Linked DNA regions of Zea mays. The main gene of each other region encodes a partner of the protein of the gene in region 6 in a complex. Links are inferred from orthologs where the notes say so. Each region holds a gene or a part of one and is shown on either strand. Other genes may lie near its edges. The genes, in order: mediator of RNA polymerase II transcription subunit 18, uncharacterized protein LOC100276155, Probable mediator of RNA polymerase II transcription subunit 19b, mediator of RNA polymerase II transcription subunit 8, Mediator of RNA polymerase II transcription subunit 32-like, mediator of RNA polymerase II transcription subunit 25 and mediator of RNA polymerase II transcription subunit 14.

Evidence for each region.
Region 1: mediator of RNA polymerase II transcription subunit 25 (region 6) and mediator of RNA polymerase II transcription subunit 18 share a complex: the UniProt entries of both Arabidopsis thaliana proteins name them as parts of the mediator complex. The link is inferred for Zea mays from reciprocal best matches to the Arabidopsis thaliana genes PFT1 and AT2G22370.
Region 2: mediator of RNA polymerase II transcription subunit 25 (region 6) and uncharacterized protein LOC100276155 share a complex: the UniProt entries of both Arabidopsis thaliana proteins name them as parts of the mediator complex. The link is inferred for Zea mays from reciprocal best matches to the Arabidopsis thaliana genes PFT1 and MED9.
Region 3: mediator of RNA polymerase II transcription subunit 25 (region 6) and Probable mediator of RNA polymerase II transcription subunit 19b share a complex: the UniProt entries of both Arabidopsis thaliana proteins name them as parts of the mediator complex. The link is inferred for Zea mays from reciprocal best matches to the Arabidopsis thaliana genes PFT1 and AT5G19480.
Region 4: mediator of RNA polymerase II transcription subunit 25 (region 6) and mediator of RNA polymerase II transcription subunit 8 share a complex: the UniProt entries of both Arabidopsis thaliana proteins name them as parts of the mediator complex. The link is inferred for Zea mays from reciprocal best matches to the Arabidopsis thaliana genes PFT1 and MED8.
Region 5: mediator of RNA polymerase II transcription subunit 25 (region 6) and Mediator of RNA polymerase II transcription subunit 32-like share a complex: the UniProt entries of both Arabidopsis thaliana proteins name them as parts of the mediator complex. The link is inferred for Zea mays from reciprocal best matches to the Arabidopsis thaliana genes PFT1 and MED32.
Region 7: mediator of RNA polymerase II transcription subunit 25 (region 6) and mediator of RNA polymerase II transcription subunit 14 share a complex: the UniProt entries of both Arabidopsis thaliana proteins name them as parts of the mediator complex. The link is inferred for Zea mays from reciprocal best matches to the Arabidopsis thaliana genes PFT1 and SWP.

The regions. Positions count from the first base shown.
Region 1 is NC_050100.1:126,532,858-126,536,849, forward strand, and holds mediator of RNA polymerase II transcription subunit 18, read right to left. Parts: upstream 2,801-3,992; 5' UTR 2,411-2,800; intron 2,217-2,410; 5' UTR 2,207-2,216; coding exon 2,171-2,206; intron 1,404-2,170; coding exon 1,304-1,403; intron 1,231-1,303; coding exon 1,173-1,230; intron 1,105-1,172; coding exon 748-1,104; intron 646-747; coding exon 543-645; 3' UTR 279-542; downstream 1-278. UniProt on the Arabidopsis thaliana protein: Component of the Mediator complex, a coactivator involved in the regulated transcription of nearly all RNA polymerase II-dependent genes.
Region 2 is NC_050097.1:1,837,529-1,841,584, forward strand, and holds the start of uncharacterized protein LOC100276155, read right to left. Parts: upstream 2,801-4,056; 5' UTR 2,636-2,800; intron 2,485-2,635; 5' UTR 2,450-2,484; coding exon 2,189-2,449; intron 1,556-2,188; coding exon 1,493-1,555; intron 1,018-1,492; coding exon 937-1,017; intron 1-936. UniProt on the Arabidopsis thaliana protein: Component of the Mediator complex, a coactivator involved in the regulated transcription of nearly all RNA polymerase II-dependent genes.
Region 3 is NC_050096.1:177,736,204-177,740,353, forward strand, and holds the start of Probable mediator of RNA polymerase II transcription subunit 19b, read left to right. Parts: upstream 1-1,350; 5' UTR 1,351-1,578; intron 1,579-3,733; 5' UTR 3,734-3,770; coding exon 3,771-3,801; intron 3,802-4,150. UniProt on the Arabidopsis thaliana protein: Component of the Mediator complex, a coactivator involved in the regulated transcription of nearly all RNA polymerase II-dependent genes.
Region 4 is NC_050102.1:151,797,348-151,800,847, forward strand, and holds part of mediator of RNA polymerase II transcription subunit 8, read right to left. Parts: coding exon 3,352-3,500; intron 1-3,351. UniProt on the Arabidopsis thaliana protein: Component of the Mediator complex, a coactivator involved in the regulated transcription of nearly all RNA polymerase II-dependent genes.
Region 5 is NC_050101.1:142,578,410-142,582,098, forward strand, and holds Mediator of RNA polymerase II transcription subunit 32-like, read right to left. Parts: upstream 2,520-3,689; 5' UTR 2,401-2,519; coding exon 1,957-2,400; intron 714-1,956; 3' UTR 501-713; downstream 1-500. UniProt on the Arabidopsis thaliana protein: Component of the Mediator complex, a coactivator involved in the regulated transcription of nearly all RNA polymerase II-dependent genes.
Region 6 is NC_050097.1:178,589,898-178,592,069, reverse strand, and holds the end of mediator of RNA polymerase II transcription subunit 25, read left to right. Parts: intron 1-532; coding exon 533-619; intron 620-692; coding exon 693-1,352; 3' UTR 1,353-1,672; downstream 1,673-2,172. UniProt on the Arabidopsis thaliana protein: Component of the Mediator complex, a coactivator involved in the regulated transcription of nearly all RNA polymerase II-dependent genes.
Region 7 is NC_050097.1:176,292,247-176,295,863, reverse strand, and holds the end of mediator of RNA polymerase II transcription subunit 14, read left to right. Parts: intron 1-297; coding exon 298-1,343; intron 1,344-1,819; coding exon 1,820-2,618; 3' UTR 2,619-3,117; downstream 3,118-3,617. UniProt on the Arabidopsis thaliana protein: Component of the Mediator complex, a coactivator involved in the regulated transcription of nearly all RNA polymerase II-dependent genes.

The DNA.
Region 1 (3,992 bases), on a different chromosome or scaffold from region 6:
CAATCTTAAGTGTCATACTAATCTCCTGTCAACGTCTCGACCGATGGGTGCATCAATGACTTTTTAATGGGTGGTCTTTCCACAAAGGACATGCCACTAATATTGATAATGTTTACCATACGGATTTTGCATATCATAATGATATTTGTCGTTCCGTTTATATATTTCATACAATTTTTTTACTTCCGTCGCAACGCACGGGCACTCACCTAGTTGAAAAATATATACACATGAGATAAACTTCTTTTTGAGAAAAGAAATTATGGTTTGGATTTTTGAGAAATTTTAATATTGGTAATACTAGATTGTTACACCCTGCAACTACAAGGCAGGGCATTACCCATCAGCAATCATGCAACCAGTCAAACCAAGAGCAAGGTTGGCACAACGATGTGTCAGACATGGACAACACTAGCAGGCAAAACTGACTGCTCAAATGCTCGGCACGAAGAAGGCCACCTCATTAGCCACGCCCACTCATCTCAAAGAACGGACTTTGGCTGTCCTAGCAGCAAGAACGGACTTTGGCTGTCCTAGCAGCATTACAAGGTTTTGCCACCGCCACTTGACATGAGTGAGGCAGCAGCAGCGGCTGCTGTTGGAACGATTCCTGTCGAGTGTCCTGGTTTTGACAGATGCAGCAGCCTGCAGCAGATTTCCAAGGATTATTAAAACCAAAAAGGTGTTTGGTTCATTCTTATATGTTTTCTGATTGTTGCCTCGGAATTCAAGCTTTGGGGTACTTACGGGGCAAGATATTCACAGAACGCAGTGACAGCTGAAACAACATCATTGTAATTATCAGCAGCAGCAGGAGCTGTGATTTCCACTAGCTGTATGGCAGGAGTGACTGGCGTAGCTTCATCGGTTGCATGGAGCCTTGACATCTTGTTAGCAGATGTAACAGTGACAGTGATTTGGGCACCTCGGTGGAAACGAAATGCAAAACCGCTCTTCAAGAGTTCATGGTCTAGCTTGTACCCTAGGGTGTAGAAGTAGTGCAAGACGTTCTTGCTAGCTTTGCTCTCCACAACTGTACGAACCAGAACTGAGATTTGCTCCGCACCAGCACCTCTCATGGCACCACCAACATGTCTTATGGTCCTACAATCTTGTCACAATTAATGATAAACATAACAAAAGGTAGACTTTCAGCAGCTTGTCTCGGTTACCAGGATGGTGTGGGCTGAGCTAAGTCACACAACAAACGAACCTCCGATGGGACAACACCTGTATGATTGCAAGACGTCAGTTAATACGCCACATGTGTAGGAATGGAGGAGTAGACTAATCACAAACTAACCTAGATTGGGCCCACTTTTAAGGCAGAGCTCATGCACCCTAAAACGCTCTTTCGGGACACCAGAGAGTCCCTGGAGTAGAACCTCAAGAGCATCGACATGCTGCAAAATGGAAAGATCAAACAAAGGTTAAACTAATGGCAGAGCAGTACAACAAAGAGCAACTTACATTCTGTGCACAACACATAAACTAGAACATACCAAAAAATTAAGTTCCTCTCTATTGTAAAAGCACAAGGATAGATCATATGTTCCCCCAACTGTATATTAAATGTTACTATTCTGTTAACATGCTGAGAAGAAAAAAAACAAATGAAATCAAAAGCTCCAGAAGTAGTGCCTTAAAGCGCGGAATAAATTGTTGACATTTAGTGGTCTACATGATCTATCTATTTATCACTTCAATAAAATAAACTTTTGTTAGTATTTATCTGTGATGGAGTAAACAGAAAAGTGACCACCAACTGGCAACTATGGATAGTGGCCATACCTAAGGGAGCTCAACTGAACACTAAAATGAAGCTAGATTGTATGGTGCGTAAGCTCAACATTGTGCACTGTACATGTACATCAATATGAGATTGTTTTGTCCACAGCAACGGAATTCAATTAGTAACGAAATGTTCAACAACAAATTCAATACTATAAGTATATACTTACAAATAGATATTAACAATCTATACACCATTCAAAATACTTATCAAATCTAGATGCAAGCAGTGAGAGGAAAAGTTAATGTCTGATCTGCATAACAAAATAGACTGCACTAACGATGATGAAAGAGCTCCTATCTTTCAAATGTTAGTGGAATGCGTGAAAATCAAATTTTACATAAACCATCAGTGCCAACTTGCATTGTGGCACAATACCTGGTTCTCGATGATTCCCTGCACCACGCACTCCATCGATCTTCTACTGTCCCACAATGATTTTGCACCCAAAAAAAAAGAATCACGTTAGTGGATTTGTTATATGTGTATCAGGGGTGGACCAGTATGGCAGTAAAAAACAAAATTAGAAGTTAGTAGACATCAAATAGTTAGGTTAGAGTTCGGGAACTCGTTTTCGCACAGCGGGTAGAGAGAAGAAGGGGGTGGGAGTGGGAATACATTGAGAGCGTTCTTCGCCAGCGAATAGATCAGCGAAGGGCGTGGTGCCTATGGTGGCGACTGCGGTAGCCCGTCCAGTCGTCGCAAAGAGAGAGAGAGAGAGAGAGCGCGCGCGCACGCGGTGTGAAGGTGACGGATGCGGCAGCGGCGGCGGCGGCTGTAGCCCAGCTAGGGCCTGATCTGGGAAGAGGGAGGCTCGATAGGACTGAGGCACTGTCGGCGGTGCGAGCCGTGCGGCGCAGCGTCGACAGGAACAATGGTGGACGCGACGCGAGGAGGGAGACGGGAACGACCGGACGAGGGAGCCAGGCAGTGGACGGCTGGGCTTGAGCAGGGAGGTGGGCTTGAGCTGGGAGAGTTCACAGTCTCGTTTGGAATGATCCAAATTTCGTTTCGTTGACTAATCTTTTATTTTTTATATTGTTATATTTTGAATCAAATCCATTTAAAACGGACTGAAATTTGTTTTTTTGGTTAATAGCGAAAACGAAAAAAGTATCAAAATTTGGTGATCTCGGACAGAAAAGATAAACCGTGGGCTTGAGTCAGGATTGTTCAGCCTAGTCGCGGTGCGGGGGTTGTTCAGCCTTATTTGTCACTTTTTTTATTTTAATTTTGATAAGACCTAATAGGTTACTCTAGATATGTTATCACTTTACCTTTTTATTCCTAAATCACTTGATAGTTTTACTATTTCTTTACATGGTTTTGGGTTAATATTTCATTATATCCATGTTCCAATTATTTTGTTATTTTATTTTTATTCATGTCAAGATTATTATCTTTAATTGGAACATAGAGCTTAACTTGAGAAACATGTGTCACCACAAGAGAGGAATGAGACCCCTTGACTAACTAATTAGGAAAGCTAGTGGAAAACTACCTTACCCGAAAGGGGCAACGGCAGTAAGAGAGTTACATGCAGAGAGGTTCTCGGTTGATTTTGCTGCGATGGCGGTCAGACGGGGGATTCTTGCAAGTCGAAATCTAGTGGAACTTTATAAAGGCCTCGTAGTGTTGCCCTGTCTCGCTTCCTTGGTAGAGGTGTATGAGAGTCGCGATCCCTTGGTAGATGGGTAACATTACTTGTGGATACAGGGTACAGCCTCTGTAGAGTGTAAAACTGGTATACTAGCCGAGCTCATGGTCATGAGCAGCTCAGAACTGTCGCATGATTAATTAATGGAACTTAAATTCAATTTGTCATTTGCATTGCATGTGATTACTTATTAATTTTGTTCTATTATTTATTATGGTTTGGTATTTACTTACACTTAGTAACTGCTAATAAAATTTTGACCAACTTATAAAAGCAATGCTCAGCTTCAACCTTTATTTTGTTGATCAGCCTTACACTTCACATGAACTCTCACCTTTGGTGAGTTCATGCACACTAGTTTCCCCACAACTTGTTGAGCTATGATCATATGTGAGCTCACCCTTTCTGTCTCACACCCCCATAGGAGAAGAACAGGTGGTTCAGGAGGAGGCACACAATGAGGAGTTTGATCTAATCTAGGTGGCATCTCCCAGTTGACTTATTGGCGCTAAAGATGGATTTTAGTTCGATTTATATTTATCT
Region 2 (4,056 bases), about 180 Mb from region 6:
TAACCAGCACCATACAACATATAAAATTAGCAATATTAGGTCTATTAAAATGGTTCTAAATATTGTAGATCGTAATGACAGCACTGACACCGGTATCAACTGGAAAACTAGGGCTTTTTAAGGAAGGCAGCTCATGCCGGTCTCCACTAAACCGACAGTCCCTACTGGCTAGTAACATCAGTTATTACGTACTAGTAACCCAGCAGTAAAAACTGCCAAAACTAGCCAAACTTTAGACACTCTTAACAACTAATAATTGTGAATTAGAAAACAAAACAATGGCTCAGTAAGTCAGTGGTAAGGCACTAAGGCCGCTCGGTGCGACCGTGCGAGCGCTACTACCCGAGTTTGATCCCTGACTGGGGCGACTCAGGTGTCACACGGGATTTTCATCAGAGGGGACTAAGCCTCTATGTGTGTGAGTTGCTCAGTAGGCACGTTCCAAGACTGCTTGGGCAGCCTCATCCGTGTTTGAGCATGAGGACAACATGTGTGCACCGTGCACATTTGAGTTCTTATATGATATGCTAGTGCTTCTGGCAACAACAAAGCCTTTTAGCTCCAATCAAGTTGGGGCAGTCCCAAAGAAAGCCTTTTAGTCCCATGCCTTCTATATAATATGGCAATGCTCCTGTTGATGTTTAAATAAATGTGAATTAACTTTTTAAAAGGATTTGCCTAGAGACATGAATATTTATAGACATTTTATGAGACAACACAAAAACCTGCAACAGATCTACTATACCCCGTCTTATTATCCATTTCTGGAAAAAATTCTTAATTCTTGTGCAATTGAAAATTTTATTGGATACCAAAACAAAGTAATTGAGATTCATTAGCCAGAATAGTTCAATTTAACTTAGTAATTATTATCAAATTCAGAAGACCACTAAGAATAAAGCATATGAGTCAGGAAAGAGAAGTAACAGAACTTACAGTAGACTTTGAGCTTATTGTTCCCGATATGGAGTTCAACAATTGTTGGCACCTAGCAAACTGGCTGGTCAATTCTTCAACCTAGATATATATAAAAAGCTTCTCTTAATACAGTAGCTATTGGAATTAGGATTTAGCAAAACGCTGGGAAAAATATGGTGTTTAGCTGGTATTCTATAAGAAATCAGCATGGAAGTACACAATACATAGTAGTAATTTTAACATGCTTCTGCAATTGCATAATTGCATAACTAAGGGTATGTCTTCCACTGGCTTGGTTTTGGCTATGGAAAACTGAACCGTGCAGACCCTGTCACCCTGGGCTGGTCCCAAGCTTCCTGTGCACCACCAACACTAGAGCATTGTTTGTGACCTGTCTCTTCTCTGGGAAGTGATTTAAGAATTACATCACATGTCAATTCAAACTCTGTATAAGAATATTCAGGCTCCACGCCTAGAAGAAGCTACAACTATTGTTTCTGACAAGATCATGCACTATGAGTACAAGAACATTGATCCATAAAACAAATGAAAATTAGTAAATGGTGATTCTTACCAGTGCATCGAAATTTTGGTCCCTTGTTCCTGTACCAATAGCATCGGCTAATCTTGTAACCAACTAACAGAGAACAAAATTATGCAAAGAAGAAAACTATCAGTATTTCACAATACATTCTAGTACTTTCTCAAAGAGTAAAAGGAAGAAGAGCCATCATAAAAGTGGAAACAAAGATTTGCTACTTGCAAAAAAGCCATTGGAAATAAGCCTAAATGTTAGATGCCAATACAGACATGTGATTGCCAGCTTAAGAAAACCTACAATACCTAAAGTGCCCTCATATATATTTTTAATTTATGTATTTCTTGTCAAACCAACTCGAGTGATTAGAATCAACATTTTCTCTGGCCATTACCAATGTTGCACGCTCTGACGCTTGTATATCGTTCATGTACACCTATAATATGGCAATCTTCACTACCGGCCAAAGTGACAAATCATGGTGTGAAGAAATTGCAATCGCTGAGCAACAAATACAGGACAAATTAATGACAATCTTTAATGACTAGCAAAATCCCAAGTTCAGAATTTTGAAATTCCGGTGCACAAAGGGCACACTCCAACAACATCAATGACATCACTACAAAAAGAAGGGTTCATTTGAGGGTATGTATCATCTATGCTATCTTAAACTAAGAGCAAAGGCCCCCAAAACACAAAACTCCACACAACTCCAAACACTCCGTTACTTACATGTAGGAGGTGGAAGTGGGAGGCAAGAGAGGCGTGGTGATGCTGCTGCGGCTGCGGTGGAGACATCAGTGTCTGCTGCGGCTGTGGAGACATCAGTGCTGGCTGTGGCTGCGGTGGAGACATAAGCGCCGGCTGTTGCTGCGGCTGCGGCTGATGGTACTGAAGAGCGTGGAGGTGGTGGTCGGGCTGCGGGGACGTCATGAGCCCACGGTAAGGATCGCCGTACTGCTGCTGCTGCTGCTGCGGGTGGTGGTGATCCATCTCTATCCCCAGTTCCCAACACCTGCGGGCAGGGGCTATTGGAAAAATCGAAGTTATTAGTAATTTAGTAGGCATAATAATACATGCATATACTTGCAATTACTCCTGAATCAGATCCGATTCTTAAGCTAGGTTTTGAGTGCTCGGTTTCGCAAAGCAGATAGGGGAGAGGAGGGACGGGCATACCTAGTGGGTGCTCGTCGCCGGTGAAATGGGCACGACGAAGGTCTGGGCACCGGCACCTGACGGCGGCGGCGGTAGCCTAGTGCTCGCCGGGAAATAGGGACCACGCGGGGCGTGAACTGTGAACGGCGGCCAGTCCGGTACTGTTTGGCCGACGGGGGCGCTAATCTCGGAGTACGGTGGCTGTGTCCAGCTGATATGGCCGTCTAAAGAACTGTTGTTGTACGATAGTCATACCTTTGTTTGTAGCGTTGGAGTTGAAATAGTGGATAGATATTAGATACGAGAGGAGATAGATAGTGTTTTTTAACCTTATTCATCTATAGATGGCTAAATAGATTGTCTGTCCAGCATTAATGGTGTTATTAGACACTATTAGTAAATGTGTCGTGATGTGTTAGTACTATTGTCTAGACACGGCACTATAGTGTCTAATCATGTCATGCCGACACTAACATCTAGTAGGGTTCGTGTTAGCCCACTTTAAAAGCTCAAAATATATAGATGATTTTTAAGGTTATATATAATTTTAAAACTTGAATATGTGTACTATTATAAAGTGGGTTGACTCTTCTGAGGCTCCCTTTTGGTAGGATTTTTGCATCACCGGCTTTCCTTCTGGCTCATCTGAAAAAAATAGTTTGATCCTTATTTTTAGTAACCCTTGGAGAACACTCTATTTAGTTAAAACACAACTACTCCTATTTTCATGGGAGGGTGAGTGACAAGAGAGAGTCGAGTCAGAGAAGCCTCCTTTTTAGGCTCTGGGCTTTCCTCGGTTTTTAGGGACATCTCCTTCCTATTTTTATGGAGAAGCCACGAGAGGAGCCCACCATTTGGTAGCCTTTTTGAAGAAGCTGTTGAGGGGCCATTAAAAGAGCTCTACCAAATAGAACTCTACTATGTAAATTGTCATGTACCTAGGAACAGGGTAACCAAAAGTAAGCCCACAACCTCCTTCCGGCCCATTAGCCGACCAACCCTCTGCCAAGCAAGCCTACGAGGCGGAGCGGACGACCAAGTCCTCCGTCGAGCAAGTTTGCAAGATGGAGCGAACGACCAATTCCTCGTCGAGAGGCAGAGCGGCTGACCAACTCATCGACGAGCAACCTCGCAAAGCAGAGCAGCCGACCAACTCCCCACTGAGCAACCCTTTGAGGAGGAGCGGTCGACCAACTCCAAATTGGGCAACCATACGAGGCGGAGGTCCCAACCTAACGCTATTAACCCGTGATGGCTACGACAAGACGCGTCATCATCAACCCACGTCCGGACATATGTGCAACGTACCGAAGGGGCGCCAGGAGGTCACTATCGACACGACTGAACGCCACCACGTACGCTCTAAGGCGTATCCCCACTGCCATGTGGGGTCAGTCAACCCAGTCATAGAAAAAACCTCAGCACTGGAGCCTCTACAGTGA
Region 3 (4,150 bases), on a different chromosome or scaffold from region 6:
GTGTATATAAGGCCAAGAGGTACCCCTACCATTTTCATCTCACCTTAGCCCACCATTCTCAAAGTCCACAACTTGTAATCTCATCCCAATACCAAAACCATCACAGGACGTAGGGTGTTACGCCTCTCGCGCGGCCCGAACCTGAACAAGCTTGTGTGTTTCTCCTGTCGTGCCACCGCACGAACCATCGAGTCATGATCGACGACGCCGTCCTGCCCTAAAAGCATCACGAGGGTTACCCCATGGTGTGCGGTCGGGTAACAAACACCGACACGGGTCAGCCCTTTCCTTTTGCGGGTTTGGTCGTCAGAGACGCAGGCGTCCGTTCCGTCTCGCTGGGTTGCTCGGCGGGGACTTGACCATCCGTCCCGCTTCGTTGGGTTGCTCGACAGGTCTTGGTCGTCCGTCCCGTCTCACTGGTTTGTTCGATGGGGGCCTTGGTCGTCCATCCCGCCTTGCTGGTTGCTCGATGAGGTCTCCTTAAGATACTCGGTTCCTTGGTACTCGTCAATTTTCGCATTCGATTTTAATATAGATATCAAATATATGTATGGGAATTCAACTTTCAATATTTTTCTCTAACCAACTATAGATTTGTATTCAACGAAACCGTGGAATATCCAACACTATCTATACTCGTAAAAAAAAAATCGACGAAACCATTTAAAATGTATTATTATCACTAACAACAAATGATTTTAATTTTAAAAACGCTACCAGAAAAAAATATGTACATTATTCAGAATACTACACAATGATAAATTTAATTTAATTTTAAAAGACTAATTATAATCACATTAGATTACCTATGTAATAAATACGTTATATCTATATGCATTAATGTATTTATTTTCATTGCTAAAGAATATATCTTCATTTATTAATCATATATGCTTATAACATATATATATATATACATACAATATAGTTATAATTTACTTGAAATATAAATTTTTATTGACTATAAATTCGTCGATGAAACAAAATTATTATATATTGCGACACTATGTTCCAAGATGGAAACTTAAATTTAAACTATTTATTTTATATTCATATTATTATATTTATATTTGATATTACCTTCGTTCTCGAATATTTGTCGTCGATTTGTTTATTTTTAAACTAAAACATGACAAATAAAAAAGAATAAAAAGAATGGATAAAGTAGTATTTATACTCGTATTCTAGTTAAAATTATTTGTATATGATAATATTTATAATAATATTCAAGTTAGAATATGATAAATAATAACATCCGAATTTCAATTTTATTTCTAAAATTCTTTTGGAAAAATGGAGAAGAAGCCACATCTGGGCAAGTGCGGGGGTCGTAGGGGTTCCCGATCCTTCCTTTCCCACTTCCCCTTTTTTGCCCGCCCGCTACCCAACCGCCGCCGCGGTTCTCGCTGCCAGCGACGGACGGGCCACACCGCGCAGGGGCTCAGCCCCGCCACCCACCTTAACCCCGCCGTCGGGAGGCGTCGTCCCCGGCCCGGCCCGGCCCGGCCCTCGCCCTCTACTGCAACTGGACTGGCGCGTAGACCTGTCCCCGCCACGAGATCGTTCCGCCCTATGTCGGTGAGTTACCCAAGCTTGCTCCGGTGTGCGGGGCTTCCTCACTGCTGCGGCAGTTTGAATTGAGAACCCTAATAACCTCCGGTCACTCAGGCGCGCCCGCTTCGTGGCGCTGCTGCGGTGCTCCCCTACTTAGCGCGCTCGAGTGCTCCACCCGCCTCTAATGTGATTACTGATTAGGCTCGTAGTATCCAGCGTGCAGGCGCAGCCGGGCAGGCTCACTTTATCTGCCTTCGGTGCATCCTGGCTGGCTGCACGGGTGTTCTCTATAATCAGTGCCCCGACTCGATCCCCATGCCCTGCATCCCGGATACACTGGTGTTTCCAGGGGGAGGGGCTGTCTTGGACACACTGCTGTTCCAGGGGTTGTTTCTGGACCAACTGAGTTCATGTGTTGCAACTGAGCTTCTAGCCATGCTTCCTGCCAGTTGCGGATCCAGGATTCATAAAGAGCCTAGGCTAGTCTATGACCAACCAATAACTACGAACAACTGCATATATACAATGACATGCATAAATTTGTTTGACGCCGACAAATATTTTTCTGAATGTATTACCTAATACGTATGCAAACATTTAAAATAAACTATAAAGAGATAACAAAAAAGTGTTCACAAAAATAGAAGATATTAAATGGTTTGCATTCCGAGATGTAACGATAGATAATATATCATAATTCATAATAGGCTGGATTGGTCCTTCAATATGTATGATCTTCTAATTCGGTCTACAATTTGAGGAGGATAGTCACATATTTGTAACAAGGCTTCATGTCCCAATCACTTGATGTCAATATAAAAAAATATTGAACAGTCTAAATCTTCCGGACTAACAAGTAATAACGCTACAATACTATAATTAGTTAATAAGAACAAAAATGCACATTACATAAGTTTAGATTGAGAAATTGAGAAACGATAGCAGTGTTGGGCTGGGAGCGTCACGTAATTTGCATGTCACGTTTGGGCCACGGTCTTTTCCTAGGTCTGGACCGTAAGTCCATGATCAGAAGCAGACCCACGAGGAGACAGATCAACAAGCTGTTGATGTCCACTTGATCCCGTGCAGAAGTGGCATCACTTGATCCACCTATGCACGAACCTACTCGATGTGCAGCACCGGCACAAACCAGAGCCCGGGCACACGCCTGCCCTGCCCAGGAGCTCTATCCGCCTCTGCTTCCTGCCTATTGCCATTGGTTGCGATGCTGGGTTCTGGTCGTAGTAGTTATGATTGCCTGGTATCCTACGTACATTGTCAGAATCATTTTGTATTGGTCAGTGATCCTTTATGTAGGTGTGTTCTCTCTCGAGTGCTCTTTTTTTTTGCCACTTGTGGATTTATGGTGCTTGGCAGTTTCTCCCCTTTATCACTAGTAACTGTACACGAGGTTGGTTGGGTGTGAGTGAGTGGAATCCCACAGACATGTTTGATTTGCTAAAGTCGCAGTACACACACAGACATATCTACAAAACAAACATACATGTTAACTCCCACGCATGATTTGCTAAAATCACAACACTTTACACGTGATAATTGATATGTAATTCCATATTATTTCAAATAAGACAGGCAAAACATGTTCATTACTTTTGATGTTGACACCATATATGGTTATGAATTGTCTTATCGATGTTTGCTTGGCCATGGGATTTAACAGGCCTATGTGGTGTGTAGATCAAGGTTATTAAAACGGTAAAACGTTGAACGCTCATGGGTGAAATTTTGACTCTTAAACGTTTAAACTTTGTTTAAACGTAGTTTTAAACAACACAGGAAAAATACCAATACATCATAATTTCAGACAATAATATGAAGTTAAATACCAAAATAGAGAGGTTAGTGGCTTACCAAAACTTCACCCATGAGCTGGATTGAACTTCAAAAGTAACTAATAGACTGGGCCCAAAAGTAGCTAATGGTCTAAAATGCATAAAAACACTGCGTTTTAGAGTTTAGAACGCCAAAACGCTAAAACGTTGTTTCAACCTCTAATTAGAGTTTTGACGTTTAAACGTAGTTTAAACATCGTTTAAACGTAGTTTTAATAACACTGGTGTAGATATGTAGTAGTGTATATCGTGTTTGTTCATTGCAGAACCAGTTCACTTTACCTTTGCACATTTGTCGTTACATTTTTTTTGTAATCGAACTTCAGGTGAAGATGCTCTTTGCATAGCTCAAGCTGCAATCTGATGGACCCTGATGACAAGAAGTTTGGAAATGGTAGGGTTTGACTAAGACTCACATAAATGAATGAAATGCACCACGGTCCACGGGTCCTTAAACTATTTCTGCATTGTCATCTAAGCCCATGAACTCTGAAATTTATCATCCGGATCCTTCAACTTTTCAAGTGGTTCATTTTATGGTCACTCTAGGTCCAACCATGGACTTGAATTTACACTTCAAACGAATCACTTGAAAAGCCGGAGGACCTAGCTGATTACTTTGAGAGTTCATGGACCCAAATGGGAATATGGGGAAGTTTACCCCCCCCCCCCCCCTGTGGTTCATTTCACTCTAAATATTTATTTGGTGGACAAGCAATTTTCAGAGATGAAATTGTTAAAAT
Region 4 (3,500 bases), on a different chromosome or scaffold from region 6:
TCTCGGCCTCCCCGCCGCCGTGTCGACTCACTACCCCAGTTCTCCATGGTGTCCCTCCTGCCACCGGGGGCCCTACCTTTGCCTTGTCCGCCAATGCCACCTCTTTCCTGCCTTTGCCCGGTGTCACCATGACCGATGTGCGTGTCACCCTTCACGATGGTCAGATTATTCGGGGCACCTTTGTGGCCTTTGATCGGGCCATGCACCTTATTCTTCGTGACTGCGTCGACCTCCACCCTCAGCCAGGCTGTCATGTCACTGGCCCGCTTGTCTTCCCCCTGCTATTGTTGCATCCCTGATGTTCAAGGCCCCCGACTCCAGCCCCCATCCCGGTGACCTTCTAGGGGCACCTCCCCTGGCTCTCTCCTCGCACCCCGTGCCTTCACCACCCCCTCCCTCTCCCACTGATTGGGTGGTCGACTCCAGAGCCTCCTTCCATACCACTTCTACCACTAGCTCGTTATCCCACTACCATCCTCCACACCCCTCACATCCTTCCTCTACCGTGGTGGGGAATGGTGCCACCCTTCCGATCACCTCAGTAGGTGCATCGATTCTCCCGGGACCCTTCTACCTTAACGACGTTCTTGTTGCTCCCCATTTGACTCACATCCCCTTCTCTCGGTTCGTTGCTTCACCGATGACAACCGCTATTCTATAGAGTTCGATCCCTAGGGGCTCACCATACGACACCTTCGTTCTCATGTCGTGCTCGCTCGTTATGGCAGCTCCTTCCCCCTCTACTCTATTCACTTGCCATCCACTTCCCCCACCAGCGTATCCTCCCCCCATGCTCTTGCTACTACCACCACCTCCACCGATTGGCATCGTCGCCTCGGGCACCCTGGACCAGATGTGATGTCCCAGCTCTCTAGACGCTCAGATATCTCCTGTCGTCGGGGTTTCTCTGAGCATCTCTATCATGCTTGTCAGCTCGGTCGTCACTCTAGTCTTCCTTTTTTCCTCTTCCACGTCCAGGGCTGCCCAAGCCTTTGATCTTGTTCATTGTGATCTCTGGACCTCTCTCGTCCTTAGCCTCTCTGGTTACAAATACTATCTTGTCATCTTGGATGATTTATCCCATTCCCACTTTCTCTGGACCTTTCCTCTACGGCTTAAGTCCGACACCTTTCACACCCTCACCCATTTCTTCGCCTGGTTCTCCACACATTTATTCGCCTGCGTCTCCACCCAGTTCCGTCGCCCGGTTCGTGCCCTCCAGTGCGATAATGGCTGCGAGTTCGATAACTCCGCCTCTCGCACCTTTCTCTTTCATGGCGTTCAATTGTGCCTCTTGTGCCCGTACACTTCCCCTCAGAACCGTCGGGCCGAACGGATTATTCGCACCACCACTAACATGATCCGTTGCCTCCTATTTCAGGCGTCTCTTCCCGCCTGCTATTGGGCAGAGGCCCTGAACACTGCTACTAATCTCCTCAACCGCCTTCCCTCAAAGGTGGTGAGTCACCCCACCCCCCACTTCTCCTTGTATGGCATGACCCCCTCCTATTCTCATCTCTGAGTCTTTGGTTGTGCCTGCTATCCCAACACCTCTGCCACTTCTCCTCACAAGCCCCCCTCCATTTGTTGTCTTATCCTCGGTTACTCCCCTAACCACAAGGGATACCGATGCCTCCCTAGTCCCCTCCTCCGTTCGCACCAGCCTCGTCGACCCCCACTGGCGTCGCGCTATGGAGGAGTACGCGGCCTTGCTGGCCAACCACACCTGGGACCTGGTGTCGCGTCCACCGGGAACCAACGTGGTCACCGGCAAGTGAATTTTTCACCACAAGCTGACCTCGGATGGCTCCCTCGACGGCTAGAAGGCCAGTTGAGTGCTTCGAGGCTTCACCCAGCGTCCCGGAGTGGACTACAACGAGACATTTAGCTCTGTCGTCAAGTTCACCATTGTTCGAGCCGTTCTCTCTCTCGCCCTCTCCCGGGGTTGGGCGATCCATCATCTCGACATCAAGAATGCATTCCTCCACAACACTCTGACGGAGACTATCTACTATAGCCAGCCCACCAGCTTCGTCGACGCCGCTCATCCGGATCTAGTCTGCCAACTGAACCGCTCCTTGTATGGCCTCAAGCAAGCGCCACGGCATGGTACAGTCGCTTTGCCTCTTACTTGGCCTTCATCGGCTTCGTCGAGGCCAAGTCGGACACGTCCTTGTTCATCTATCAGCGCCGCGACGACACCGTCTACCTTCTGCTCTACGTCGACGACATTGTGCTCACAGAGTTCGCGATGAAGAACCTGGGGCCTATTCACCACTTCCTCGACGTCACCGCCAAGCGCTGGCCTCAAGGTCTCTTCCTCCACCAGCGCCAGTACGCCATCGACATCCTGGAGCGGGCTGGCATGTTCTACTGCAAGCCCTGCTCCACGCCTGTCGACACTCAGGCGAAGCTCTCTGAGGACGACGGGCCCCCGGTCGCCGACATGACATCCTACTAGAGCCTGACCGGCACGCTCCAGTACTTGACCTTCTCCAGGCCCGACATCGCCTACATCCTCCAACAGGTGTGCCTACATATGCGCACCCCGCGGGAGCCCCATCTCACCGCTCTCAAGCGGATCCTGCGCTACCTCCGCAGCTCCCTCGAATACTGTCTTCTACCCCCCCCCCCCTGCGACGTCGGAGCTTGTGGTCTACAACGACGCTGACTGGGCTGGTTGTCCCGATACATGGTGGTCCACTTCCGGTTATGTCGTGTTCCTAGGCGCCAACCTCGTCCCCTGGGCCGCCAAGCGGCAGCCCGTTGTCTCCCGCTCTAGCGCAGGGACCGAGTACCGCGCTGTGGCCAACGGCGTGGCAGAGGCCTCCTGGCTGCGCCAGCTTCTCCAGGAGCTCCACAGCCCCCTTCAACGCGCCACACTCGTCTACTGCGACAACGTCAGCGCGGTCTACCTCTCCACCAATCTCGTGTAGCATCAGCGCACGAAGCACGTGGAGATCGACTTGCATTTCGTCCACGAGCGTGTCACTGCCGGTGACGTTCAGGTTCTCAGCGTCCCCACTACGTTGTAGTTCGCCAACATCTTCACCAAGGGGTTACCGTCGAGTGTTTTCGCCGAGTTTCGATCCAGTCTCAACATTTGTACAGAATAGAGTTGAGACTGCGGGGGTGTTAGAATGTTGTTTACGTTTATGTGTATACCTCTATTGTAATGGGCCTTGGCCCACAACACTCAGCTATACATATACACTCCCAACCCTGATTAGGGTTAGGGTTTCTCATATTCTCACTCTCCAACTAGAACAGGATCAAGAAGGGAAACACATACTACAGAAAATCTATAAAACTAAAACACATCCAAAGCCCCAAATGTAAACCTATCTTTACCTGTGCTAGCATCCCAGCAGCTGATGGCCTCACCGGCTGGTGAAGCGGTTGAGAATGTTGCATCAGTTTTTGCCTCTGTTGTTGTGGTGTTAGATGTTGCTGGGGGGAAGGGGTATTCATCATATTGGTGCCTGACCTAGGAGAGTTAG
Region 5 (3,689 bases), on a different chromosome or scaffold from region 6:
GTTCCAGGTCTTAATATATTCTTAAATTAATCGACCAGATACTCAGATCCTTTTCTCACATGATACGGAGTAGTATCATTCAGCATGTTACATTTATCAAAGTCCGGTATACTTATGGAGCTAATATTTTATCTAGCTCTATTTTCTGAATTTGGCATTGGTTACAACCTTTAAAGTTTCTGTACAGATTATCTCATTTCAGCTCTATTTTTTAGGTACACTGCTTATATTGAGTCAGTGGCCAAATTTTAACAATCAGTTGTGGTCTTAATCCATGTTACTGTTGTTGGTATGATAATGCACTTTGCTCACCATATCATCTATGTTTTTGGTATGATAATGCGTTAACGCGTCTTAATCCATGTTGGATGTAAACGCATGTTTTTTCTGCTAATGCTTCCTCTGTCCCAAATTATAAAACATTTTGGCATTTCTAGGTTCATAGCTTTTGCGTATCTATACATAATATATTTCTAGGTGTGTAGCAAAAACTATTGATCTAGAAAAGCCAAAAAATCTTATAATTAGAAATGGAGGGAGTAGTTCATAGTCCTCAGCCAATTCTCTTGAGTGCAGCCATCAAATTGTGAAATTGTACTTTGTCTACAGATCCTATAATATCGATACAAACAGATTATGACATCTCCACATTTCTGCTTACTTCCAATAGTTTATCAGCATACTGTCATGTAGCATAGTCAAATCTTTTTTTTCTGCACATAATAGATTAACATACATTTGAGATACAGTGATGGGCATATCTGGTTTCTTGGTAACCATCTTACTAAATTACTGTTCAATTCAGTTCGTGCTTTTGTGAAAATGACTAGTGAATATACTCTGAGAACAATGAAAACCAGTACTGCTTTGTTAACTCAAATATCATGAATCTGTAGGGACCATAGCAGTGGTGAATAAAACTTTGGATCTATAGAACGATAAAGGAACTAAGGTGCTGTTTGGTTTATATGTTTGTAATGTAATAGGTAACAAATAACGTTAAATCATGTTTGTTTAAGTCCAACTGTAATTGGATACCACACTACAAATTGATACCAGCCTATTCAAACTTGTTACCCCTGGTAATCGAATGCAAATCATTACCGTTACCATTTACGTTACATTTTAGGAACCAAACGGCACCTAATTTAAGTCGTGAGTTCGAAGCTCATCCCTTTCCTAGACCCCACTCGTGTGAGAGCCTCCAGCACTGGATCAGCCCTTTTTTAGTTTTTTTGTCTATCTCAAACCAGGGATCCCAAGTTCCCAACCTTATCTCTTCACTCAACAAAAGAGTTGACTCAAAATCAAAAACTGCAACAACCAATCCCCATACACTGGCTGGTCCAAACAGGTACAGACTTAAAACTGGCGCAGCATTATACCCCCAGGTTTTTTTTTTCTGGTCATCATGTAATTAGATCTATATACCTCTCATGCTTTGTCACGACACTATAATTTTTTTTTATGGAGAGCAGCATTTTAGCAATCTGTGTAAAGATTGGGCAATAACCAATGGGCATAAAGACATTAATGCTGAGTAGTAGTATATCTCAAAATGGAAAGGTAAAAACAACAGCCAGCAAATCGCAATGATTTAGGTGCTGTTTGGTTCAAAAAATGTAACGCAAATGGTAATGGTAATAGTTTACGCTCGATTACTGGCGGTAACAAATTTGAATAGGCTGGTATCAAATTTTAGTACGGTATCTGATTACGGTTGGACTATAACAAACATGATTTAACGTTATCCATTACCCATTACGTTACAAATATATGAACCAAACGGCACCTTAGTTCATGTTCTTGCAAATATCAACACGCAAGGTTAATGCTGTCACTCATAGAAACACAGCAACGACAAGTTCTTTGTTTTCTATTGAAGGAAAAATGCTACAATTTTCATATGAGAAGGGCGATGCTACTAGTTTAATTCAGTAACTCCATAGTCCATACCTACTGGGCACCCTCCTCCGGGTGTTGCCCTCCAGCGCCGGCATTTGGGGTAGCGGCACCGCCACTGCCGCCGGTCCCTTGAGCAGAGGCGCCGTGCTGGAGCTCGATGACGAGCCATCGGACGGCCTTGCTCATCTGCTCGAGGCGGACGGCGCTGATGGGCTTGATGCCGGGGGCGGCAACGGATCCGGCGGAGGCGGACCCCGTGGCCTCGTCGACGAGGCACTCGGAGCCGATGCGCTGGCGGATGGACTCGACGAGCTCTTCGGCGTGGTCGCAGGCGACGCGGAAGATCTCCCAGCGCTGCTTGAAGGCCTCGAGCGCGGCGTCCGTGGCCGCCGTCTTCTTCTCGCCGCCCGACTGTACGCGGGCCTCCACCACAGCCGCCGCCGCCGCCATGAAGTCGTCGTACGCCGCGCTCAGGTGGTCCACAGTCGCCTCCATCCCTCCCTCACCCCCAGCTTCTGACGATCCAATTCGGCCTCAGCCCCCAATTCGACACGACGACCCCGAAACCGAAAGCAAAGCGTGAAAACAGGAAATGCCGAAATGGCCCAATCGATATCGGGTCGAGATCAGGATGGGCCTTTTTATTCGACATACGCATCTGGACCAGGGCTAGAGATTGTAGGCATGGATTTTTTTCTAAAAAAATAATATTGTTTTCCCAGACCGTATAGTAAATAAATTCTAAAAATTACATTATTGGACGCGTGTTGTTGGGAAGCTCGCGATCAATCGTGCGGACAGAACGTAGGAAGTGGCGGATCCAGAGCTACTATACGTGGTCTTTTTTTTACAAGACTCTCGTTTATCCTAATTGTTTTAGAATTAGAATCATCTTTCTTCTGGTTCTTGATGAAAAATTTATCCATCCTATTCTTATAAGCATGGGATTACTACCAAATAAATAATCAAATCAAAATTTCAAATCAAACTTAAAGCAAACAATAGCACATGTTTCACCTTCACTGCTTGTCTGCTTCACAGATCACAGCTTCACCTTCGTTGCTTCTGCTTCGCAGTTCGCATGGGACGTCCTATTCCTGCATGATCTGTCACAGATTAGCAGAAACTCTCTTGGCCTCCTATTCCTTCATCGTCCCAAACTCCCAACAGAACAAGGAACCCCCAACAGAAAGCTTGGAGGGGCATTGGCACACGCCGCACACCGCGCATGGCATTATGGCAAGGCCATACATCACTGGCTGTCTGGCTCATCACTCCAATGCAAGAACAAGCTAATAGCTAAGCACACTTTCTTCTCAGCGCGTGTGTACAAACCTGAGCTCCACGAATTAGCAGAAGGAGGGAGCGCGGAGTGGCGGCTGGACAGCGGCGTGGTCAAGGCGGTGCTCCGGGCGGGGCTAGCGGCGGTGTTCCGGCGGTCCGGCCTCCGGGCGAGCGACGCTGCGGGTTGCAGCGGTGCTCCGGGCGTCGGGGCGTGGGCGGTTGGAGGCCTGAAGCTCGTGGGTAGAGGGAGGAGGAGCGACCTACGACTGGGAGGCTGTTCACGCGGTCGCGCGGCTGGAGCTGATGGGCTTATTCGCTGATTTTTGGGCCGCGACCGGGCTGCAGCCCAGGCAGCCCCAGCCTCGGTTGGAGATCCGCCACTGAATGTAGGAAGAGCTGAGTGGTGTGTTGGCTTACTGCTACGATTGTCCCTATTGATTGTGACTCTGATTAGATAGTTCTAGACATGTCATCTGGCTTGACATGTAACCAAATGGGTG
Region 6 (2,172 bases):
TCGAACCGTGGCCCTCTTCTATAGATATTCTAAATATTGTGTTACACAGAGGATAAATATTGTAAATATATATACATACTAATACATTTAAATTTAAAAAAATATAATCATGCCACGTCGGACCGGGCCGGCACTATAGACTGAGACGGTGGCTCAGGCACGACATGGTTCTCAGGTCGGGCCGCGGTACTGTTAAATGGGCCGTGCCTTGGGTCAGTCTGCTAGACACGACCTATTTGGCTATCTATAGTACAATACCTTCTTTCTCACTATCTCTGATCTCGTGAGCGTGGAAAAAAGCGAGAGAAAAAACTTCATCTCATCTCACCACACATCCGGTTTAGACCGTGTTTGAATAAATATCTTATTTAAATAAGATTTATCTTTATGATATATAAAAACCGTAGCAACGCACGGACAACTAACCAGTAATTTTGTTATTTTGCTGCGGTTCATCTACTGTCGTTTCATACACTTAGTTTTCTGTCAGTTACTTTATACAGTTCTAATATCCAATTGGTCCTGGTTTCAGTGTGCTGTGATACAGTTACCATCGCAAACTCTGTTGCTGTCGATGGCTGACAAAGCAGGTCGTTTGATTGGCATGCTCTTCCCTGGGGTAATCTTGATTGTAGTTAAATTAATTAATGTTCTGCATAATTATCTGCATTTACTAAATGACCTTTTCCCAGGACATGGTGGTGTTCAAACCGCAGGCCTCAACTCAGCAGACACCAATGCAGCAACAGCAGCTACAGCAATTTCAACAGCAGCAGCAGCAGCTGCAACAACACATGCATATGCAGCCGCAAGGCCTCCCACTTCAGCAATCACAGATGCAACTCCAGCAACAGCAGCCGCAGATGCAACCGATGCAGCAGCAGCAACCTTCGCAGATGCAGCAGCAGATGCAATCGATGCAGCAGCAGATGCAGCCAATGCAGCAGCAAATGCAGCATCAACAGCAACAGATGCAGCATCAACAGCAACAGATGCAGCAAATGCAGCAGCAGCAGCAGCAACAACAACAACAACAACAACAGATACAGCCTCAGCAGCAACAGATGCAGCAAATGCAGCAGCAGCAGCAGCAACAGATGCAGCCTCAACAGCAACAGATGCAGCAAATGCAGCAGCAGCAGCAACAGATGCAGCCTCAACAGCAACAGATGCAGCAAATGCAGCAGCAGCAGCAACAGATGCAGCCTCAACAGCAGCAGCAACCCCAGATGGTGGGTACAGGAATGGGGCAGCAGTTCATGCAGGGGCACAATCGGGCAGTGCAGATGATGCAAGGGAAGATTACGCCACAGGGGCCGGGCAGCATGCCTGGGGGAGGCTTCCTACCTTAAGCACCTTTTATCAGCAGGCATCAGATGAATTGAGGGTTTACACTGACCCAAGTGTTGAGATGTCAACTTCATTTGACAGGGTTAGGGAATAGTCACTCGGGGAGTGTTGCTAAAACTTAATCTGAAAACTTAAGCATCCCTGTCACCGATAGGTAAATGCCAGATGTCCATGCATAGGTGCATACTTTATGATATGGTGGTGTACTCGTAATCTTGAGTGACTTTATGGCATTGTTGTACTAGCCGTAAACTATTAGGTATAACAGAATTATTATTTAAACTACAGTAAAATAAGTGACCTGTGTTGTTTAGGGTTTAAATGGTACGTTAAATAGGTAGTTGAATCATTTAAGCAGTTTAAACTGTCTAAACGATTTACATTGAATCGAGCTAAACATGATTAAATAAGCTAAACAACCATTTAATTCATACTTTATTCAATATTAGCATGATTAAATAAGCTAAACAATCATTTAATTCGTCGTTTAGTCAATATTAGCAAAATTGTTTGTTGCAATAGGAATGTAAGTAAAATAGACTGATGCATAAATTTTAGTATTTGATGATTAACATAATCATTTGAACTAATATTGCTTGCTAGTATTTTAAGTAACATTATTTATTAGTATTTATAGATATAGTTTAAAGGATGCAAAGTGTATTTGAATGAAGATAAATTGGTGGTATAAATGATCAAAACCTCAAGCAAGACATTGAAAAACGTGTTGAAGACCTTTTATAAGAATATGTAGATGCATCCGAATTGAACACAAAGATCATAAAAAACTAAGAGAACACTTTGAGCATATATTGGACTATA
Region 7 (3,617 bases), about 2.3 Mb from region 6:
AATAATGGATCAATATTTCATAGTCTGGAAGTATAAATGAGTGCTGGCGTTTTTGTTGTTTCACTGTACATTCCTGTGATCTGCTTTGCTGGCAGTGGCAGATGGGTCATTATCATTCCAATTGGCTTCCATCAATTCACTAGTATCTGTTGATAAATAGGTGAAACCGAGTACAAAAGCTTATGCTTTCTGCTTAAGCAGAAAGTTTCTGTGAGATTGCTCAATCATCTTGCTTTTTGCAATAAAGCTTACCTTTATTTGCCAGCTATCTCATAATCAATATTTGCAAAAATGCAGTTTCTGGAGGATTTCGTGAATGGTGGAGAGGTAGCATCCTTCTTGGATTGCATTCGGCTTACAGCAGGACCATTACTTGCCCTTGGAGGTGCAATTCGTCCTGCAAGGATGCCTGTTGCTGTCTCATCTGGATATAGCTCTATGCCAAAACAGCCGAACATCCCCACACAAGGGCCTTTAGTAAATGGTTCATCTTCAACTATACATCACGCACCTGGCCCCTCAAATGCTGCATCTGCCCATTTAGGCAGTCATAACCTTCATGCTGCTGCCATGCTTTCAGCTGTTGGACGCGGTGGACCTGGGCTTGTTCCCAGTTCATTACTGCCTTTTGATGTTTCGGTTGTACTTCGTGGGCCATACTGGATACGCATTATATATCGCAAGAAATTTTCTGTTGACATGCGCTGCTTTGCTGGGGATCAGGTTTGGCTCCAGCCAGCTACTCCTCCTAAAGGTGGACCTTCAGTTGGTGGATCGTTGCCATGCCCACAGTTCCGGCCTTTCATAATGGAACATGTTGCTCAGGGTCTAAATGCTCTTGAACCCAACTTCATGAATGCTACACAGGCTAGTGGACACTTAAATAACAATGCAGGAGTTCCACAAACTGCTCCTAGTGCAAATCGTTTAAATGCTACCCCTGGTGTTTCTATGGTCAGGCCAACATCTGGTGTTGCTAACCATGTAGCAGCCAGTTTGAGTCGAGCAGGAAATGCCATGTTGGCTTCTTCGGCTCTTGCTTCTGGTATTAGTGGAACTTCTGTGCGACTTACTGCTGGAGCTGGTCTCCCTGTTCACATGAAAGGTGAACTAAACACAGCTTTCATAGGACTGGGGGATGACGGTGGATATGGTGGTGGCTGGGTTCCTTTGGCAGCTCTTAAAAAGGTGCTGAGAGGGATCCTAAAGTACCTAGGAGTTCTATGGTTGTTTGCACAATTGCCTGAACTTTTGAAAGAAATACTAGGATCAATCTTAAAGGACAATGAAGGTGCTCTCTTGAATTTGGATCAAGAGCAGCCTGCACTCCGGTTCTATGTCGGGTAAGAAAATATAAACTGGCAAGTATCCCTTGTTTTCTAGCATCATATTTAAAGTAAATGCTATTCATTTTTTTTTGGCTGCGCAATTAAGATTGAGGATCTACATGAAAGTATCCTTAATTTTCTATTGTGCATGGAAGCTTTGGTGCTTAGCGCTATTGAGTTCCCTGACCTTCTTTTGGAAATAGTACTTTGTTTATATCTGCTGCTCTTCGGATTATATATTCATTCATCTATTACATGTTACTAGTGTGCGTCAAATATTTACTGATTCCTTAAGACTATACTTAATTGTTTACTGAATATAAGTGGTGTTCTTTTATTTAATTTGATGCTATCAGCTCATAATTGGTTGAGCTTAGGCTAGCCTTATAAGATGAAAAATTGGTGTTCAAAATGACTCATCTTGTTTTTCCTGAGTTGAGTATTTTCATTTGGGATTGCTAGTAAATTGGTACCTGATTTCATAATTGCAGAGGATATGTATTTGCAGTAAGTGTACATCGGGTTCAACTGCTTCTACAAGTTTTGAGTGTGAAAAGATTTCACCACCAGCAACAGCAGCAGCAGGCTCAAAGCAATGCTCAGGAAGAGCTAGCAGCAGTTGAAATCAATGAAATATGTGACTACTTTAGCAGACGTGTTGCCTCCGAACCATATGATGCTTCTAGAGTTGCTTCTTTTATCACTTTGCTTACATTACCAATTTTGGTTCTGCGCGAGTTTTTAAAGCTGATTACATGGAAGAAAGGTCTTTCCCCGGTTCATGGGGACATTGCTACTGCACAGAGGGCTCGCATCGAGCTTTGTTTGGAGAATCACTCAGGATCAGCTTCGTCTGATAACACCGAGAACAGCAGTTTAGCCAAGAGTAATATTCATCATGATAGAGCCCACAGTTCAGTAGAATTTGCCCTGACATTTGTACTTGACCATGCTCTTATTCCTCACATGAATGTAGCTGGAGGAGCTGCCTGGCTTCCATATTGTGTATCTGTGAAACTTCGCTATTCTTTTGGGGACAACAATCATATAGCTTTCCTTGCTATGAATGGGAGCCATGGTGGGAGAGCCTGCTGGTTGCAGTTTGAGGAGTGGGAAAGATGTAAGCAGAAGGTTTCAAGAGCTGTGGAAACTGTGAATGGGTCTGGTGTAGCTGGAGAGGTAGGCCAAGGAAGGCTGCGAATGGTTGCAGAGATGATCCAAAAGCAGCTTCAACTCTGTCTACAACAGCTAAGAGATGACCCACTTTCTGCAGGCTCGACTGCATCATGAACTTGCTTGGAATGAGCTCTATCAAGGCCATTGATGTCTGTCATATTCAGCATGGCCTTTGGCTTTGTTAACGTGTAGATGTGAAGGAATACACATTTGGTAGCAGTGACAGTTTCGCCTGAGGCTTGCTCAGATGACAATTTTGTACAGTATAAATGGTGGCGGTTGACTCTGATGGACCTTTAGTTAGCCCATTTGAACGTGGCCTGTAACATAGCTAGGGTGGGTAATAATGTGCCAAGGTGGAATTGCTCAGGGATGCAAAATGATCTTCGGGAATTGGTTGTCTGTATCATCTACTGTAATCGTGTCCTTTTTCTCCCTTTCTGATGGATAGTTCATTTTTGGATTCGTTATCATCTTTCTTCTGTCTGTACTATGTTAATCTAGACATTGGTGGATCTGGTATATGTGTTGTTGTACATGATATATTGGCACTGGACTTGAGACTGACGCATTTGACGTCTTAGTATTAGCAGGACATCTCTAGTTGTGTTCAGAGTGATTGGACACAAAAAATATTGCTTGGAGCTTTTCTTTAGGGCTAGTTTGGGAACTTAAATCTCGACCCCATAGATTCCTGGAGAAGATTTGAGTTCCCAAACTAGTTCTTAATGTTTCTTTTTTTTTTCTATTGCATCTTCTTAGTAAATGATGTTTTTGTAACTGTAAAAACCGTGCCGGTCAAGATTGATACCTGGATGGATAAGATGATGTTGGGTCAGATTTCTTGCTCATGGTTAGGAAATTGATGTGAGCACTCTGGCCAGTTTGTTTGAAACTGATATTCGTGAGTTGTGATTGGAAGCGTATGGATAGGCTTTTTAATCGTGTTAACCGTCATACGGGTAGGCCTTTTTAGTTCTCGTGCTTCTACGTTTGGGACACAGGTGTCAGTTTTTGTGCTTTAATGGACTCCATAGGTATCACGTGAAGCTGACATAAGTTACTTATTATCTTCATTTTACTCTATCTTCTCGTGAGAGGAAAAAAAGGGTT